4 linked regions of the Saccharomyces cerevisiae S288C genome follow. The gene in region 3 interacts genetically with the main gene of each other region. Each region holds a gene or a part of one and is shown on either strand. Other genes may lie near its edges.

Evidence for each region.
Region 1: mutations in CTP1 (region 3) and MKK1 together harm fitness more than expected from each alone (negative genetic interaction), as found in Saccharomyces cerevisiae (3 studies listed by BioGRID).
Region 2: mutations in CTP1 (region 3) and IDH2 together harm fitness more than expected from each alone (negative genetic interaction), as found in Saccharomyces cerevisiae (4 studies listed by BioGRID).
Region 4: mutations in CTP1 (region 3) and IDH1 together harm fitness more than expected from each alone (negative genetic interaction), as found in Saccharomyces cerevisiae (4 studies listed by BioGRID).

Annotation. Positions count from the first base shown.
Region 1 is NC_001147.6:769,755-774,627, reverse strand, and holds MKK1 (mitogen-activated protein kinase kinase MKK1), read right to left. Parts: upstream 2,028-4,873; coding exon 501-2,027; downstream 1-500. Other genes in the region: mitochondrial nucleotide exchange factor MGE1, read right to left, coding at 1-55; WTM1 (transcriptional modulator), read right to left, coding at 2,515-3,828; WTM2 (transcriptional modulator), read right to left, coding at 4,816-4,873. UniProt on the Saccharomyces cerevisiae protein: Involved in a signal transduction pathway that play a role in yeast cell morphogenesis and cell growth.
Region 2 is NC_001147.6:578,057-582,596, reverse strand, and holds IDH2 (isocitrate dehydrogenase (NAD(+)) IDH2), read right to left. Parts: upstream 2,348-4,540; coding exon 1,238-2,347; downstream 1-1,237. Other genes in the region: SIA1 (Sia1p), read left to right, coding at 1-784; GTPase-activating protein BAG7, read right to left, coding at 2,804-4,033. UniProt on the Saccharomyces cerevisiae protein: Performs an essential role in the oxidative function of the citric acid cycle. Also binds RNA; specifically to the 5'-untranslated leaders of mitochondrial mRNAs.
Region 3 is NC_001134.8:782,446-786,819, forward strand, and holds CTP1 (Ctp1p), read right to left. Parts: upstream 2,128-4,374; coding exon 1,228-2,127; downstream 1-1,227. Other genes in the region: BSD2 (Bsd2p), read left to right, coding at 146-1,111; YBR292C (uncharacterized protein), read right to left, coding at 2,257-2,628. UniProt on the Saccharomyces cerevisiae protein: Transport of citrate across inner mitochondrial membrane.
Region 4 is NC_001146.8:556,793-561,059, reverse strand, and holds IDH1 (isocitrate dehydrogenase (NAD(+)) IDH1), read left to right. Parts: upstream 1-2,057; coding exon 2,058-3,140; downstream 3,141-4,267. Other genes in the region: carbonate dehydratase NCE103, read right to left, coding at 581-1,246; phosphatidylinositol N-acetylglucosaminyltransferase GPI15, read right to left, coding at 3,277-3,375, 3,450-4,040; transcription factor TFIIIB subunit BDP1, read right to left, coding at 4,228-4,267. UniProt on the Saccharomyces cerevisiae protein: Performs an essential role in the oxidative function of the citric acid cycle. Also binds RNA; specifically to the 5'-untranslated leaders of mitochondrial mRNAs.

The sequences.
Region 1 (4,873 bases), on a different chromosome or scaffold from region 3:
GGATGAACGACTTCCTAGTTGTGGCCCTAACGGTGGCTGCTGAAAAAGCTCTCATTTTCAAATATTCAACTTACTCTTCCACAATATGTCCTTGTACTTTGGATCTAAAGCGGCACTTGGAAACTTATTATTGTTTTCAAATGCTTACGGTAATACCACGGTATATTGTTCTGGTTCAGCTGCAGCAGGCGTTATGTATAACTCATGGGAGTTACGTTTGCTTCAAACGTAAACTCGCTGGAAATTGCGTTGCGAGGTATTAAAATATCACTGAATACGTATGCCAAATACAAAGACATGTAAGACATTAAATGCTAATCCTGCTGATTAAATTAATATATCTATATATTCAAATTAAGTTTGTCGTCAAGCTGTATAAAGCCATACATTTTAGTTAGGCTATCCTGGGTATGAATCTTGTATGGAGGAAAATTTTTTTATGGAAAATGCGAAATAAAGTAAAATAAACTTAATCATGTTCGCAAAAAATTGCTTATTGATTAATCTTTCCAGCACTTCCTCACGAATTTTTCCATATTGACATTTTTTTTCATTTGACCCTTTATCCAAGGATGATTGATCATTTGTCTTGGAGATGGCCGTTCACGACTATCTTTTTTCAGACAGTAGTCGATAAAGGATTTGAATGATGGACTCCATATGATATTAGATTCGGGTTCATCCTTTAATTCAGGAGTAAATGTTAAAATCCACATTAACAATTCAAAGGGAGCTATATTGGCTGCCATCTTCTCGGAAGAGCATGGAAATTTCCCGTTCGCCACTTCCAAAATCGTTAATCCAAGTGACCATACATCAGATGTGACACTGTATGGTTGACCTTGAATCCTTTCTGGAGCCATATAGAATGACGTCCCCGTGAATGTTGTGGCTAGCGAGTTAACGGCTTCTCCACTGACCCCAAAATCACAAAGTTTCACCTGACCATTTTCATTCAGTAAAATATTCTGGGGCTTAATATCTCTATGAATAACTTTTTTTTCATGCAAATATGATAGTCCTCTTAGTACCGCTTCTGCAATCTTCCCCAGGACTTTTTCACTGATCCTACCACCACGCTCTAACAAATTTTTATAAATAGCATCCAACGATCGCCCACCCATGTACTCCATAGCAATATAAATTGAAGAGTTTTCGTCATCCGTAAACATTCCATAATATCGTACGATATATTCGGATTGGAAACTCCTATTAAACTGTAATTCTCTGAATATTTGCTTCTGATACTCGGGATCTGTATTTAATGTGTTTATCACTTTTAAAGCGAATATTTTTGATCCATTTTTCAATTTACACTTGGAAACAGAGCCACCGGCTCCTTCTCCTAGAATGCCTAATGTCTCGATCCTATCTTTTAAATTTGCATATTTCCAACCATTTTCATCCAATTGATCAACATCTCGTACACTGTTTAAGTCTATGTACGATTCAGAAGATGATTTAGGCTGGGACGATGACTTGATGGGACTTGAACTTTGTTCATATGCCGATATCAAATTTGAAAAGTCAGATCCCACTGAATTGCTCAGATCATTTCTGAGGTAGGGAGAAGAGGTGTTTGTATGTGAAAAGGGGCTTGCCATCGATGAAGGGGTTAAGTCACTATTACCAGACAACTCATTTTCGGCTATCACACGCTGTTTCAATCCTAAATCATGTTTACCATCAGACACATCGGCGATGGGTACGAGTTCGGGTAGTGTTTTGCACTTAGACTGTGAATTTATGCTGAGCGAAGGTAAAGATGGCGGTGCAGGCCTCTTCTTCATTGTATTTAAAGTCATTGAAGAGTCGCTAGGATGAAGTCGAGTTTGGGAGAAAAGTGTCGATGTGGAAGAGGTCAGTGGTTCTGGGGTGTGGCTACTGTAAGCTGTGGTGGAACTCCCATTCGACGTCAAGTATATATTATTTTCATCTACCTGATTATTTCGTAAGAGGGGCAGTTTAAGTCTAGGAGAGTTTGGGTTGCATTTCGCAGATTCTGGGGGTCTGAACAGTGAAGCCATACTGGGCAAATTGTGCAATGGAAGGATAGAGTTAATTTGGTCTATGTACACTGCGAGAAATACGCAACCATAAATGAAACGCAAGTTATGAAAAACCGGATCCAACCCTACCAGAGACCAACTTTCTTTTTAAATTGTGCCAAATTTTTGCTGCCCTTTAAAATAGAACTTCCTTATTCTGAGCCGTCACACGCCTTAATGATAATCAGTCGATCCGATTTTTCAATTGTCGCAATGACCTGAGAAATATAATTGCTCGTGTATAGTGACTTATTCGCCAGCAGGTGTACGGTATCTTTCATCAGTAGTAAGTATTGTTTAATTAAATATTGAATAATAAATATACTAACAGTAGCTCATACATAACTTTAGGCGCGCACTTTCATCACACAGGGTAAAGAAACCAGCCCTGGGTGAGAAAAACTAATAATAGTTAAAAGCATTAAATATATAAATATGGCCTTGTTCCGCGCGTTTAGCATGGCGACTATTCGCTTTCCTCGGTATAGGGCTTGTAGATGCTGACTAAACTATCGTCATCGACAGTACCAACCAAGTTTTCAATAACTGGATGCCAAGCGGCGGTGTTTCTTCTTCCAATCTGTTTTGGAGATCTTCTGCTTCCACCCTTGTGCAAGAATCTCAGAGATTTTGTTTGTGATTCTTCAGTGGCATCTTGAGGAGGAGCAATGGTATCGTCAGGATTGTACTTTGACAAGGAATAGTCAGTGTTCCAGTGGTAAATATTACCAGTGCCGCCCACAGTAAAGAATTCAGAGCTTGAAGTGGCAGAAAATTGGACGTCGACAACAGAATCACCGCCGGCATGATAGAAGTTAGCGATTTCATTCTGAATTGGATCTTCACCGTTTTGTCTATAAGTCAAATCAGTGGTGGCAGCTTCAGCCGCTCTGGCATCCCATAACTTGATAATACCCGTACTGAAACCGGTAACAAACAAGTTGTTGGAAACCTGAGAGCAATCAAACGAGGTCAATTTTCCGTTCTTTGGTTCTCCCAACACCCATATAGGCTTGTCGGAAGTTCTAGTGTCCCAGAACCTCAGAATATTGTCATCTGAACAAGACGCAAAGATATGATTGTCGAAAAATCTTACGGTGTGAGTCACAGTGGTACCAGGCACATGAACAGTACGTAGAATCTCACCAGGCTTACCGGCATTGTCAATGATTTTCAAAATACTGTCTTCTTCATCACCATTACTCTGAGACTTCACAATGGTTTCGGTATCATTGGAAATGCCGAAGTCAGAGATGGCTAATGAGAAATCCTTTTCAGGTAGATCACCAGGTCTGGTTAAAGAATGGATGCTGGCATAGCTGGTTGCTGGACCCATCAATTCCTGTACAATGTGAATAGGGACCTTTATACCCTCTTTGAACCAAGCCAACGACCCGTTCTTAGACATCGACAATAATGTAGTTTCTCCAGTCTTATCTAAGTAGGCCATTTTGGAGACAGTTTCACCCTGGTACACGAATTTTGGGCTCAACGAGGTGTTTTCAATACCTTCAAAGGCGTCACCATAGTCTTTCACCGGTTCTGAAGCGGCTTCTTGTAGTGGTACAGCGAAGTCAATTTCGTAGATATCACTACCTTGAGAGTATATAACACTTGAGGTTAGAGTGTTATTTTTTTTATCTGGAACAACAACGTTGCTGAACGTCAAGGACTTCCTTTGGTGCAGAACATTGTCCACACGAGACACAAATTTTGGTCTTAAGCTGGAGATATGTTCATAAGTGGAAGGCGTAGATGATTTCCAAACCTTTTTTGGCATTTTTGGTTGTAATGTATAGTGTGTTACAATTTATTTGTATCTTTCAAGATTGGTTGATTAATAATTAATTTTCTTATCTAATATCTACAATTCAGGCGAATATAAACTTTTCGGATCTTCTTTTTTCCCTCCCTTTATACTGGAAGCTACAGAACTGAAAAAAAAAAAAAAAAAACATAGAACATTAAGGGGACAGACTGCATGGAAAAGGAAAAGGTAAAAAAAAGCCCCGAAATGGTACTCTTAAATATGAGATGATAAACGAGGATTCGAAGGAAAATAGCCCAACTATCTACGAGTTGAAATTAAAAGGGAGTAGTGAGCGCCACTATGTGTGCTCACTGTGTATAGCTAAGCAATTACATAAGGGATAGTACATAAACCACCGTATGTTAGGAAAGAGGAAAAAAAGGAAAGACAAAGGTCTTTTGCCTATTGTATGACTTAGCCTTTCTTTGTTATACCCCGGCGCGTTCCAAAAAGGGAAGCCAGCACAGCACCGCATATTGAATACCGCCTTCTCACGTGGTACAGGCACAACTATCTTGCATGTGCCTCTGGGTCTTTCTTAGCGACAGCCTTTTAAGATTCTGAATTGTAAACATCGAGCTTCATCCGAGAAACGAAAGAGGGAATCTTGAAATGGACTATGTCACCATTAGATCCTCCCTCTTCTCCATATAGCCGGTTTTTGTCTTATTTCTTTGCTGGAAAGAAAAAAAAGAAATTGCTTGGTTAATTACTGGTAACCCTCTTTTCTTGAGGCCTTACTTCGTTGGCTTCAGAAATCTGAAAGAGTCTTTATTAGGAGCGATACCAGTATCTATACAACATTATACCATCACTATATATTACAAAAAAAAAAATAACCCCGATAGCGTGCTAGAAATGAATAAAAAAAAAAAAAACAGAATTATGTACGTGAATGCTTGTGAGTTACTGCCTTTCCCATAGGTGGTAACGTTAATTTCTTACTCTTTTTTTTTTTTAATCGTCGTAACCTCTGCCAATGAAGTCACTGGCCAGAAATGGTTTGTAGGCAGTA
Region 2 (4,540 bases), on a different chromosome or scaffold from region 3:
TACTATCGACTATCAAACGTGCATTATGAAAGTTGTCCAACCAATGATTTCTAATAAAATACCCTACGCAATTTCATTGGGTGTTTCTGACGAATCCAATTTGGCCACATCGGCACAAATTAGAGACTTTATCAGGAATTTACCTTACACATTTAACAACGTTGCATCAGAAGAGGGTCATATGGCCATAGAAGTCTCATTTAAAAAGAAGCTCACGAAGAATACTCTTTTGGAAAGAGACATTGATACCGAAGACGAAACAAACCCATCAGAGGCTTTATTTTTCGTCTTTGATTCATTTGCGCCCGTCAATAATTTCCTACAAGATTATAACGACCTGATTGGGAAAATAGACTTTGGCTTGGCATTTCAATATTTTCCATTATCGGAATATAGGCCTCATGGTTTATTTCCTATTATTGGGCAGTATAATGAGAGGTCTACCTTAACAGTAGATACGCCAAGGTCTAGAGGACAAGTTTCAATGACGATCAATGGCAAACATTACAAAAGCTTCCTTGATATCCTGAGTCTTTGGAATATAAAGGGTGTCAGTTGCGGACATGAACATAATAATGACTGTTGCTTACAGTCAAAAAATGAGATGTGGTTATGTTACGGTGGGTCCGCTGGTATAGGCTTGCCGAGAATCCAAGGTATATATCCAACCGTTAGATTATTTAACTTGGATGATATTTTGGACGAAATAACTTCGTGGAAGAGGAATAGCAATCTTGTTGACGAGGTTTACGATTATCAGTACATCTATAAGGGGAAGCAATAATTTCAATGATTAATTTTGTAAGGTGAACATTGACTGCCAGCAGGATAGATGATAGATAGACATAAACAAAATATACATAACACACGGTGGTGTTTTCTTTTTACACATAATATATTTAATTCTTTTTCTTTTTTTTTTTTTTTGGTTTACAAGTCCACTGAGGGACATTTTGAGTTATCACTTATGGTCTCCTGTAGCATTATTAAAAGAATAAATATCGAAAAGTATACATACTTAATAAAAACTTCAGGCTATTAAATAAACATCAGAACACATTGAGGACAAAGCCATAGAAGTTTGGAGTAGATACGGAATTTTTATTGTATGTATATATTATATATCTAAGCATTTTGCTTTTTTTTACTTCATAATCTTTCAGAAATCATTATATTAAACGGATAGTCATTTGTTTTCAAGGCGTGAAAAAACCTGAGAGGGAAAAGAATAGGACTTTTATAATCTCTTGATGACTGCTTCAGTGAATGATGAAGTAGTAGCAGTACCAGCCAAGTCACCTGTTCTGTTTTCTGGACCTGATGCGATAGTAGACAATACTGCATTTTGAATTTGGTCAGCATGATTCGTTAGACCCATGTGGTTTAACATCATTACTGAAGATAAAAGTAGGGCAGTTGGATTCGCTTTATCTTGACCGGCAATATCAGGGGCAGAGCCATGGACAGCTTCAAAGATCGAGATTTTATGACCAATATTGGCAGATGGAGTTAAACCTAAAGAACCGGCGCTCAAACCAGAGTTCAAGTCGGACAAGATATCACCGTATAGATTTGGACAAACAGAAACAGCGTCTGTGTAAGCAGATGGGTTGGTGACCACCTTTAACACACTGTTATCAATAAGTTCAGTTTCTAAAGTAAGGTCAGGATACTCTTTGGATAGTTCTTTGGCAACATTAACGAATAAACCATCAGCTAATCTCTGGATAGTAGATTTATGTACCACAATAACTCTTGGTCTGCCGATGGCTCTTGCATATTCAAAAGCGTATCTAATGACTCGCTCAGAGGCATCTCTTGTGATCAGTTTAATAGATTGAACAACGCCAGGGCAAACTATGTGTTCGATACCAGAATATTCACCTTCGGTATTCTCTCTGATAAGAACTAAATCAACGTTTTCGTAAGTGGTCTTAAAACCTTCAATAGACTTTGCGGGACGAACGTTGGCAAATAACCCAAATGTTTTTCTCAATGTCAAATTCAAAGATCTGTGACCTTTACCAATAGGTGTAGCTAGTGGACCTTTTAGTGCAACCAGGTTTTTTGTGATAGATTGTACGGCAGGGTCAGGAATGGTCGTTAATCCGTTGACAAAGATAGGGCTAACATCACAAGATTCCCATTCTATGGGGACGTTTGCTGCACTAAAGATTTTCTTTACAGACTTGGAAATTTCAGGTCCGATACCATCACCTTCAATGAACGAGACCGTGTATTTGCCGGTAGAAGGGTTAGGTTTGCCGGTATATCTTCCGATTGAAGGTTGCTTTACAGTAGCCAAAAACCTCCTCGAGGTGTTTCTAAAAAAAGTATTTCTCAACATTATTAAAAAATATTATAATTGTTGTTCGTTCCCGATCTGTATCTTATTATCTACCAAGGTAATTCAGGTTCAGAAAAAGTGTATCCAATAATGTCATGCACTTGGAATATATATTTATATAAATATGAATAATAAATGAAAAAGAAATAAGAAAAGAGGAAAACTTTAGAAGGAGGGTTTTTCTGATATGACTATGATGAGAAACTAAAACCTTAGGGCCTATAATAAGGGACCTATGAGCTTTTCAATAACTTATATATTCTTTAACCAAACAATGGAAGTTACAGAAAATAGGAACTGACCAACCAGAGCGGCCCGTGTCATGCCCCCCCTTGCCGAGATGCGGACCGAGATTGCTGAAAGAAGCGCCGAGTATCGCAAAAGGCCCCTGGCGGGGCAACGACAATTTCTTCGCCGAACCTCGGAATCGACTAGCAGATCACAGTGCTTAGGAAGCTAAGGCTGCGTTCTAGAAGGGCTAGTGAGTCTTCTCAACCATGACTGTCGTTGTTTGTGTTTGGTTTTATGTTCACCTCTAGGAACTCTTTCTGTAGGGTCTTTGATGCCAGTATTGCTGCTGTTTCCAACGTTCCCAAGTAATTTACTAAGTCTGGGAGAAAGGGACTCTGCACTCAATGTTCTACCTTTAAAGGATCTCGGTACAGAAAGCCCATTGTTATCAAAATCTATTGGGCTAGGAAACAGTGCATGATGATGATGATGATGATGATGTATGGTAAAATTGTTGGAGTCAGAAAGTGCACGTGACCTTGGAAGCATATGGTCATCTATTGAAGGGTGCACAAAATCTTCTTCATCGGAGTCAATAGCCATTTCAGGAACGGTAATGTTGTTAAACTTTGCTACTGTTCCTGCATGCGGCATGGTGTCCTTATTCGCTTTTTCCGTATTCGGTATTATATCTGAAGCGTGTAGTATGAGGAATTCGATGACAGTTCTGGAAGCCTCATACTCTTTCGGGCACATTTCATCCTTGGGATGAGACAAAAGTGAGGGTTGTACGATGGCCGCTAAATTGCTTGCTGACATTAAATTCTTCTTTTCATTTCTTGCAAATAAATTCAAGAGCGCGGCTAAATAAAGTATTAAATGGCGATTTTGTTGTGGTAAGAGCATATAAATATCTTCGTAGTCCTTAATGATTTGTTCTTTGTGCTCATTTATTTTTGGGTTTTCTAATATTGGATTTCTAAAAATGTCGTATAATGCTAGGGGAACCAAAGGCTCACTTAATGAGTTCAAATATCTTTTTAATAAAGTTGCAATGTCATGAACATTGAAATCACACCATCCTTCAAATTTACGACCATAATCGGGCGGTTTAGAGAAAACAGCTTGTAGCTCTCTAACACGTTTATTGCTTCCCGCAATACGGAAAATTCCTGTTGTGTCTAATGCATTCTCTTTTAGGTATTTCCCACTTTTTGCTATTACCACCGGTATGGAACCAATTTCATTTGTACTTTTTTGGATAATTACTTCCTCTTGAGCAACTTTCAGTGATTCCTCGAGTGAGACGCCAAATACTTTACCATCAAATTCGTTTTGCAAATTAGTAAAGGTGTCCCTATCCTTCTTGCCCTCAACAGAAGACATTGAAGATGACCTATTCTGTGGAGAACCCTCTTCAGAAGAAGGTGTAGAAAGTAGATTCATGTTAAACATTCTATTTTATGTTGTGTAATAAGATATGTCCAGAAATATACTATGGTTATTTATGTACTCTTTCCTGTGTACGCGTTTCGATTATTTTGCAGGTTATATTATATACTGCTATCACATGCTAAAACAAGAGTATCTAACAATGGGAACACAAAGCAAGTATTGATTTACTCATTCCAGTTGTGTAATTTTCTTCTAAAGATGTACTTAAATAAGAAGAAAACAATGATTGTCTTCGACCTCAACGCCTCGAACCAACGCTTTCCCCAATAGCGAGAGAAAGTAAGTAACCGGAAAATTAATTACCTCTTTCTTTCACCTGCAGGGGCTGAGGTGCTTCTGTTAGTGCGCCTCTAGAAGTATCGGCCATAATGAGATATATACTTTGGTTGCCCCTCCGGTTTTGAGGGAGTTTTAGCCCGATGAGGCTGGTCCTCCCCTCCAAGGATTTTTTGTATTTCCTATTTCGCTCTAATTATAGAAGCACCAACATACGGCGGGGTATAAACC
Region 3 (4,374 bases):
TATCATCGTGTTATACGATGCGGAGTCCCTTTGCGCCTACTTTTTTTAGAAGAATAGTACATAACCTTTATAAAAATCTTCCAATTTAGATACATAAAAAGAGCATGAGAATAACAAGAACACGTAGTCTAGGAAACTAAGCGCTATGCCAGAGCAAGAACTACTTATAGGGCAAGAAATGAATACACTTCATGCAGGTTCATCTACTGATGGCATAAATGTCGGAAACGCAGGACGAACTAGAGACACACAAACTGGCGTAGAAGGGGAAACGGAAATAGGGTCTGACGAGGAAGATAGCATAGAGGACGAGGGAAGCAGCAGTGGAGGAAATAGTACGACAGAAAGACTAGTACCACACCAGCTGAGGGAACAAGCAGCCAGACATATAGGAAAAATAGGAAGACATTTTAATATTCTTGATAGACTTTTTAAGAAACGTACACAACAGTCTTCGGATATACAACAAGGTGCCATGTTTGATGGTGTCTTTAGCAATTTAAGCGCAAAACCAGATACCACAGAGACTGAAGGTAATAACGAACAAGACATACCACCTACATACGACGAAGCTGCTGCTGATATGGCCCCCTCGTATTATGGAATGGATTTGAACAATTCAGATATCTACTACGACGAAATATGCATTGAGGGGCTTCCTGTAGGAAATATAGCAAATTTATTATGGAATATCATCGTAAGCACGAGTTTTCAGTTCATTGGATTTTTAATAACCTACATTTTACACACATCTCACGCAGCAAAGCAAGGTTCAAGGTTTGGATTAGGGTTAACGTTCATTGGATATGGTTATTCAATGATTCCCAATGATGTTACTTCAAAAGTCGGCAAAAATAAAAGCTTAAATAGAATGGAATTAGAGGATCCAAATGAATTCGATGATGTTCGTCTAAATTCACAATCAACGACACAAGATAAATTTGAATCACATTTGAATCACGGTCTGGATGAAGAAAAACAAAACATACCATGGTTGGCTGTTTTTGTGGCATTTCTTGGGCTATTTATCACCCTGAAGAGTATATACGACTACATTCAAGTCAAAAAATTGGAAAAGAAATACCTCAACCAAAGTCAAAATCAAGCATAAGCCATCTTCTTCATTATGATAAAAAGAGATATATAACTTTTTTAAGTGATCGGCTGGTAAATAGACTTATAACGAGTAGAAAACATTAGATGATATATTGTACACAATAATACATTTCAGGCTAGCATAACTAAGACCTTTTCATAGATAGTGAAAACAATACCACCACTCAAGACCAATCTCCCAAGTCTAGGCGTAGCACCTTTCCAAAACGTCTTTAACCCTTCTTCTTTGAAAATGGTTGCAAAACAATTCATTGTAGAGGAGTATTTGGTGGAATCCAAACTTTGCATTCTTGTTTTCACAGTATCAAGGGGCATGGTGGAATAGACCGTCACAATACCACTAAATGCACCCACTAAGAAGGTTAACCCGGATGATAAAGGTTTGTCTTTTGGCGAATCCGTATAATCTTGGATCAAGGTCTTAATCTTATTGTAACAACCCAATCTAACGGCTTGGTTTGCGGCCTGTCTCATGGAAACTGGCAAAACACCACGATAAAGACCAGAAAATCCTTTATCACGGACTAATGATGAATAGTTTCGTACTACACCGCGCCCATTATTATGGTATTTTGGTGTAGCAGATTGTTTATCATCGATCAAAGCAGTTTTGATTGCTTCAAAAGGAGTCACTGCGGCAACACTTTCTAATAGTCCCGCACCTAACCCAGCTATCACCCCTCTTGTACCACTTAGTTCTCCAGTTTCACTATCTCTTAGCATGTCTTTAATGGTATCAAAGCCAAGAAATCTAATACCCGCCTTAGCGGTGTTTCCAATAATAAATGCGGGACATCCGACATAAATGGAACCAATGCCCTGAGTTTTTGCAGTTTTATATATCAATACCAGAGGATTTCTTGATGCCTTGGAGGCCTTATCAATCAGCTGCAGCCTTGTTTTGGCAAACTCAAAAGGATATGTTATACATGCTTCAGCAGCACCGGCTAGGGACCCTGCCAGAAACGAGTGCAATGGATCTACGTCACTTTTGGTAGCTTTACTGGACATCGGTAAAATGCTAATTTATAATTCAAGCTCTACTTTGGAGTTCTTTCATTGTGACATCAAAATGTTTTTAATTTTACGTTGGCTTCGACATTTTACGTTTTATATATCACGCTAAAGTGAGACTAAATTTCATTGTTCTTCTTTTTTTTTTTTTTCACTTCTAATAATTGAAAATTCCGCAGGAATTCTTCCATATTCTTGACTCTTCAGTAAGACTAACTTAATGGAAATAGAGAAAATAGTACATATTTGAAAAAAAAAAAAGAGGTGTTGAAATGATTTGAGAATATTAAATAGCTTACAAGCGTTAGCCGAGTTCCCAGACAGCAGAGTTTCTACCCTGTGCTCTTTGTTGGCGGCTTTATTGATGAGGAATATAAAAATGTAATTAGGCAAACCTACGCGCGAAAATATAAGAAGCAAAGATATAAAGTGTAGTATATTTGAATATTTACATGAACGAAACGGCGACGTATAATGGTAATCGGCTGGGAACTTCATTAAAAAGTCAAGATGTAAGTTACCTCTTAGTAAGAAGAGTTATTGCAGCAAGCTTAGTATCAATAGGGAGACTCTGTCATGTAAAAAAATAAATGAACACAATCATAACCTCTTCGACTGGGCTATTCGTTGTATAGTATATGTGGTGGAGTGTAATGAATGAAGTTCTCAGAAGCTTGAAAGCATATCAAAATCACGTATTGACTATGACAGATTCTTGTTTCTTGCTCCATTACTCCATTCGAGTTTTTCACAACTTTTGTCGTTCGTCTATAACATCTCTTTTTTTTCCCACTCTTCTAAAATATTGGCATAGCTGACATGTTTGGAACCGAATAAGCAATTACAATACGACAGTAAAATAAAAGCATGTTATTGCTGCTTGTAGAGAATTCCTGCATATGTAACTTTCTCATTCCGACGGGATAAGTTCATAAACTAATCAGCGATGAGTTGCGGAAAATTCGTCAATAGAATATTTTCCAGTCAGTGGTGGTCCCAGTGGCCTGCAACCTAATGGCTATAGTTCTGGATAATAAATTGGGCAAAGGTCAGTATAAAGAATGAATGTATCAGGCCGTAATTGAAGCTTTCAAGTCCAGGTGAAAGGCCAAATCGACAATTAGCGAAAACAGGATTTTTTTACCAACTTGAAATAGTGACTGCTGTCTTTTTGCCTGATTAAGTGGTTATATATTTCAACTAATATCACAACAAAAGGCCTCTCAAAATTTGTGGCGAAGTGTACATCCTGGGTGCTCAGGTAAGCGTCGTCTTCGTATTTTTTTTTTTTCAACAGTAGTTTGGAAATAATGCTCTTCGAGGAATGCGAGCGGAAATGTTATCCACTGTATAAGTCGATATTTTAAGGGACGCTAAATATATCATCATAGCTCGTCTATTGGTGGCTTCTCCAATTGCACTTTCAATGCATTATGGTAAAGTGTGGTGATAAGGCATAGTGATGTTTACAGAGGTCTGTTGGTTTCTCTGGGCTCGCTCATCATCCGACCAGTAACCTTGTGGGGTTTCACATATTGTTCTATGCATTATTATCACGGATTTGTGCCTGCAAATGCTGTTTCTTTGGCTTTTCTTTCTAAAAAAATTATGATATATATATTGTTCCTCCTTGTTTAACAGGCTTTACGGTATTGTGGATCCTAGTAATAGGCGTACTTTTCTTCATTTACATATTTGAACAATATATGTCTCACAAGTAGTTGACCGAATAGCGTTACGTAAGGGTCAAAAACCTTTTCAGAATTGTATATATGACATTTTTAGAACATGATATAATAAACAGAATATAAAAGAAAATAGAGACGACGTACCATGGCATGAAGAATTGTACTGATATCACATTGTGTTGAGCACTGATAGATTAATACTATATTTCTGCTAGGTGCGGGGGGTAACATGTCCTAATGTGTGGCAACCACATTCTAAGGCTCGGTAAGTGATGCGATATATGTGCATGTGTGGCTTTCTTCCTAATTTGCTATTAGATGATTGTGTGCAAATCCACAGAAATATACAATTTCGAGAATATATATACTAGTTATCGTTATAAGAACACACAGTATTGGCCAATTCTTGCCTCTGAATGGTACAAAATGCTTTAAAATGTAGTAAATGAAACATTAATTCCAAATCAGATTTTTTTTCGCAATGCTTAAATCTAGTAAACACAAAGTACTACCGAAAAGCAAGGATGGAAACTATGGCAGTATTGAAGAGACTGAA
Region 4 (4,267 bases), on a different chromosome or scaffold from region 3:
GAACTTCGAATCCAACTCAAAATTATTTTTTTTACGTACTTTCTCCCCTATCGAAGTTTCCTAGAACACTACTTTTCATATATGTTGTTATCGTTACCATTTGGATCATGTGCCTTTGCCAACTTCAATATAGTTTGCGATTACTCTTTTAAGTAATCATTTGATGCTTTACTTGTAATATAGTCGTTAATGCTTAGTGTGTGCTACAGCGTTTCAACTTGACAAACATTGATGGGAAAAGCAACTTCAATTCGTTATATCTGACATTTGCTGGATCACAGACCGTAATAACGGGCTTCTATGGCCAAGTTGGTAAGGCGCCACACTAGTAATGTGGAGATCATCGGTTCAAATCCGATTGGAAGCATAATTTTTTTTCCATCATTCCTATTCAAAAGGTAAGATAGTGTATATCTGAACATGGAATGTGCAATTAAGACATTTATTTAAGTGTGATTTCTTTTTTTTTATAAAAGTTATAATGCATAATTTATATGAGTGGGGCTAAATATCCCCGTCTACTTTGTAAATGTCTTTCTATTTCAATGAATATTATATAAGTATATCGGTGAGGCTAAAACTATTTTGGGGTAACTTTTGTGTAAGTGCTAACTGTTTGCAGTAGACCGTCCTCTACGTTGTAAAGCAGACCGTATACCTGTAATTCTCCATTTTGTACAGCAGTTTGCACAGTAGGGTTTTCAATAATCCTATTAAACTGCCTTTTGACGTTACAGTGCGACAGGTAATGAGATTTTTCACGTTGCGTTTTCAAATGGATCAAATTTTGTGACTCTTCATGGTACATGGTGTCAATATCGTCTAAGTACTTGTACAGATGAGAACAGTTAACTTTTGGTAAGGCTTCCCTTTGGTTAGTTAAACATGTCTTTATACCACCACAATCAGTGTGGCCACAAATAATAACTTTGTTAACTTTTAGACAAATAATGGCAAACTCTAAAGTGGCCTTCAAAGTTAAATCCTCTGAGTGACATATGTTAGCAACATTTTTCCAAGTGAACACTTCGCCGGGCAAGACACCTAAACAGTTTTCGTTGTAACGCGAATCGGAGCAGCCGATGAAAAGAGTGTGAGGGGACTGGCCCTTCGCATTGTGATCTGGGAACAAAGTTGGCTGTATGTTGTTCATCTGGGAGGCCCATTTGGCATTGGCGGCCAAGATATCTTGTAGGTTTGAGTTGTGACTCAATGTGAATATAGATGAAGATTCGGTAGCGCTCATTCTGATGTGTAATAATTGAAATTTGTAGTCTTAGCTGTAGTTGATGTGGTTGGGGTTTTCAGAAGAAAACGAACAAGAATTAGAAGAGGACAGCTCTTACCTATCCTCGAGAATCATTACTTCCTAAGTATTTATAGTACTCTATGTCAGCCTACTTGTTCATTTCAAAATTACTCATCGAGAGAGGGGGAGGAAGGAATCACTAGTAATTTTTTCGGCTTGATAAGCGTCATGGTGACAATGCGAATTAATTCAGTGGCGTCAAGTTAGCTCATTCTGACGTCAACATCGAAACGGGAACGAACGTTCGTGCGGGGTGATGGTTAGAAAGCACGTGACTTACGTTACTATCACGTGATAACAATCACACTGTACGGCTGATCAAATTTTTTTCGGCGCCGAGTTTAGGTGAATCACGTGTGCCTGACCACCTTCTCCGAGCATCGGGCGTCATAGGTCACTCATCAACCAACCATATTGCAGAAACCTTCTTTTATTTTTTTTGGTAGCTCGGTATTGTTATTTAGCGATTAAAGGAAGACCCTCATATATATATCCCCGTACAATACATGCCTACACTGAATATATATATAAGTGTTTTATGTGGGTGAGCACATAGGACTATCTATATTTTCCATAGGTCTTTTTTCTTGTTTTCTTCCGCTTCATTGGCTTATTCTTGATTGATTGATTTCTTTACTCTACCGTAGATCTATTTCAACAGTACCTTAATATTACTGGTAACAATCAAGGTTCATTATTCTCCCTATCCTCATTCTTCTCCCTTTTCCTCCATAATTGTAAGAGAAAAATGCTTAACAGAACAATTGCTAAGAGAACTTTAGCCACTGCCGCTCAGGCGGAACGCACCCTACCCAAGAAGTATGGCGGTCGTTTCACCGTCACTTTGATACCTGGTGACGGTGTTGGGAAAGAAATCACTGATTCAGTGAGAACCATTTTTGAGGCTGAAAATATCCCGATCGACTGGGAAACTATAAACATTAAGCAAACAGATCATAAGGAAGGCGTCTATGAAGCTGTTGAGTCTCTAAAGAGAAATAAGATTGGTCTTAAGGGGCTATGGCACACTCCTGCTGACCAAACAGGTCACGGTTCACTAAACGTTGCTTTGCGTAAACAACTAGATATCTACGCCAATGTGGCCCTTTTCAAATCCTTGAAGGGTGTCAAGACTAGAATTCCAGACATAGATTTGATTGTCATTAGAGAAAACACGGAGGGTGAGTTCTCAGGCCTGGAACATGAATCCGTCCCTGGTGTAGTGGAATCTTTGAAAGTTATGACTAGACCTAAGACAGAAAGGATCGCCAGATTTGCCTTTGACTTCGCCAAGAAATACAACAGAAAGTCTGTCACAGCTGTGCATAAGGCAAATATCATGAAGTTAGGTGACGGTCTGTTCAGAAATATAATAACTGAAATTGGCCAAAAAGAATATCCTGATATTGACGTATCGTCCATCATTGTCGACAATGCCTCCATGCAGGCGGTGGCCAAACCTCATCAATTTGATGTCCTAGTTACCCCTTCAATGTACGGTACCATCTTAGGCAACATTGGCGCTGCTTTGATCGGTGGTCCAGGATTGGTGGCAGGTGCCAACTTTGGCAGGGACTATGCTGTCTTCGAACCAGGTTCCAGACATGTTGGTTTAGATATTAAAGGCCAAAATGTGGCTAACCCAACTGCCATGATCCTTTCCTCCACGTTAATGTTGAACCATTTGGGTTTGAATGAATATGCTACTAGAATCTCAAAGGCAGTTCATGAAACGATCGCAGAAGGTAAGCATACCACTAGAGATATTGGTGGTTCCTCTTCTACTACTGACTTCACGAATGAAATCATCAACAAATTATCTACCATGTAATGAAAACAATTCCCCTTTTTTTTGTTCTGCAACTTAAGTGTGTTCAAATTCTTATCTATAATTATATATAAACATACACTAAAATATAAGTATATACCAAAATGTCTCAAGATTTTCTGTAATGATAATTTGATGTTCAATCTTTTGGTCTGCTCAGGGGTTTTTCTTGCTTACTGAGATATTTTCTAGATATGTTGTATATTAGACGTTGGTCATCGATACTGGGCAAATTTGACTGCATTGTTGTGTTAGTATTTCTAATCAGATCGTTGAAGTAAGAAACAATCTTAAATTCGCTTGAATACATACTGGAAATAATAGCTTAAGCGTAGACGATTTACGTACAATTGCTGCAAGATAGAATATCACTCGAAATCCCCGACAGAATCCTTCATTGATCACTACATCAATAATTCTTTCATTGGATATAAACTCTACTTGTTCAAAGAACTTCCGATTCCATTGTTGAGGAAATATAACCATACCCTTCACTCTGGACAGCTGTAGTCCACTTTCTTTGAAAATTGTTACAGTTTCCACACTAGGTCCCCTCACAAGTATAATTGTACCTAAGGCAAACAATCCCATTATAATTAAGATCTGGAAACTTCGCGCGATTGTCACTTCAAAAGTTCTATTAATATGTTCGAGAAATCTTGATCTTAGGCAAATTACATAGAACAAAATATTCAGTAGTAAAATAAGTACAATTTGGTGATATTGTATGCCCATGTTAATCTCTACCCTCCCATTTTGCTTGACTTTTTTGAACTTTCGGTTAGATACAGGTAAAACGGTAAATCTTATAAAATTGCCATTCTTGTCTTCATCGATAACTAATGTATACTTCTTTCTATTCAGTATACTAGTCTTACCAAATTCATACTCTTTACTAATCATATCATCCTTTTGTTTCTTTTGCTTATAGAACGATCCTCATATGTAACTTTCATAATACTGTTTTCGTTGCCAATTTTTTCTTCCGAACATCGCTTCATTTATTGATGCCGCGGTACACCTGAAGAAAATGATATAATACAACAAAAAGTTGTGCTATTTATCCATTATGTATGCATATAAATGTCTCTTATTGATCAATCTCAGGCTCTTCTTCACTTCCTTCATTA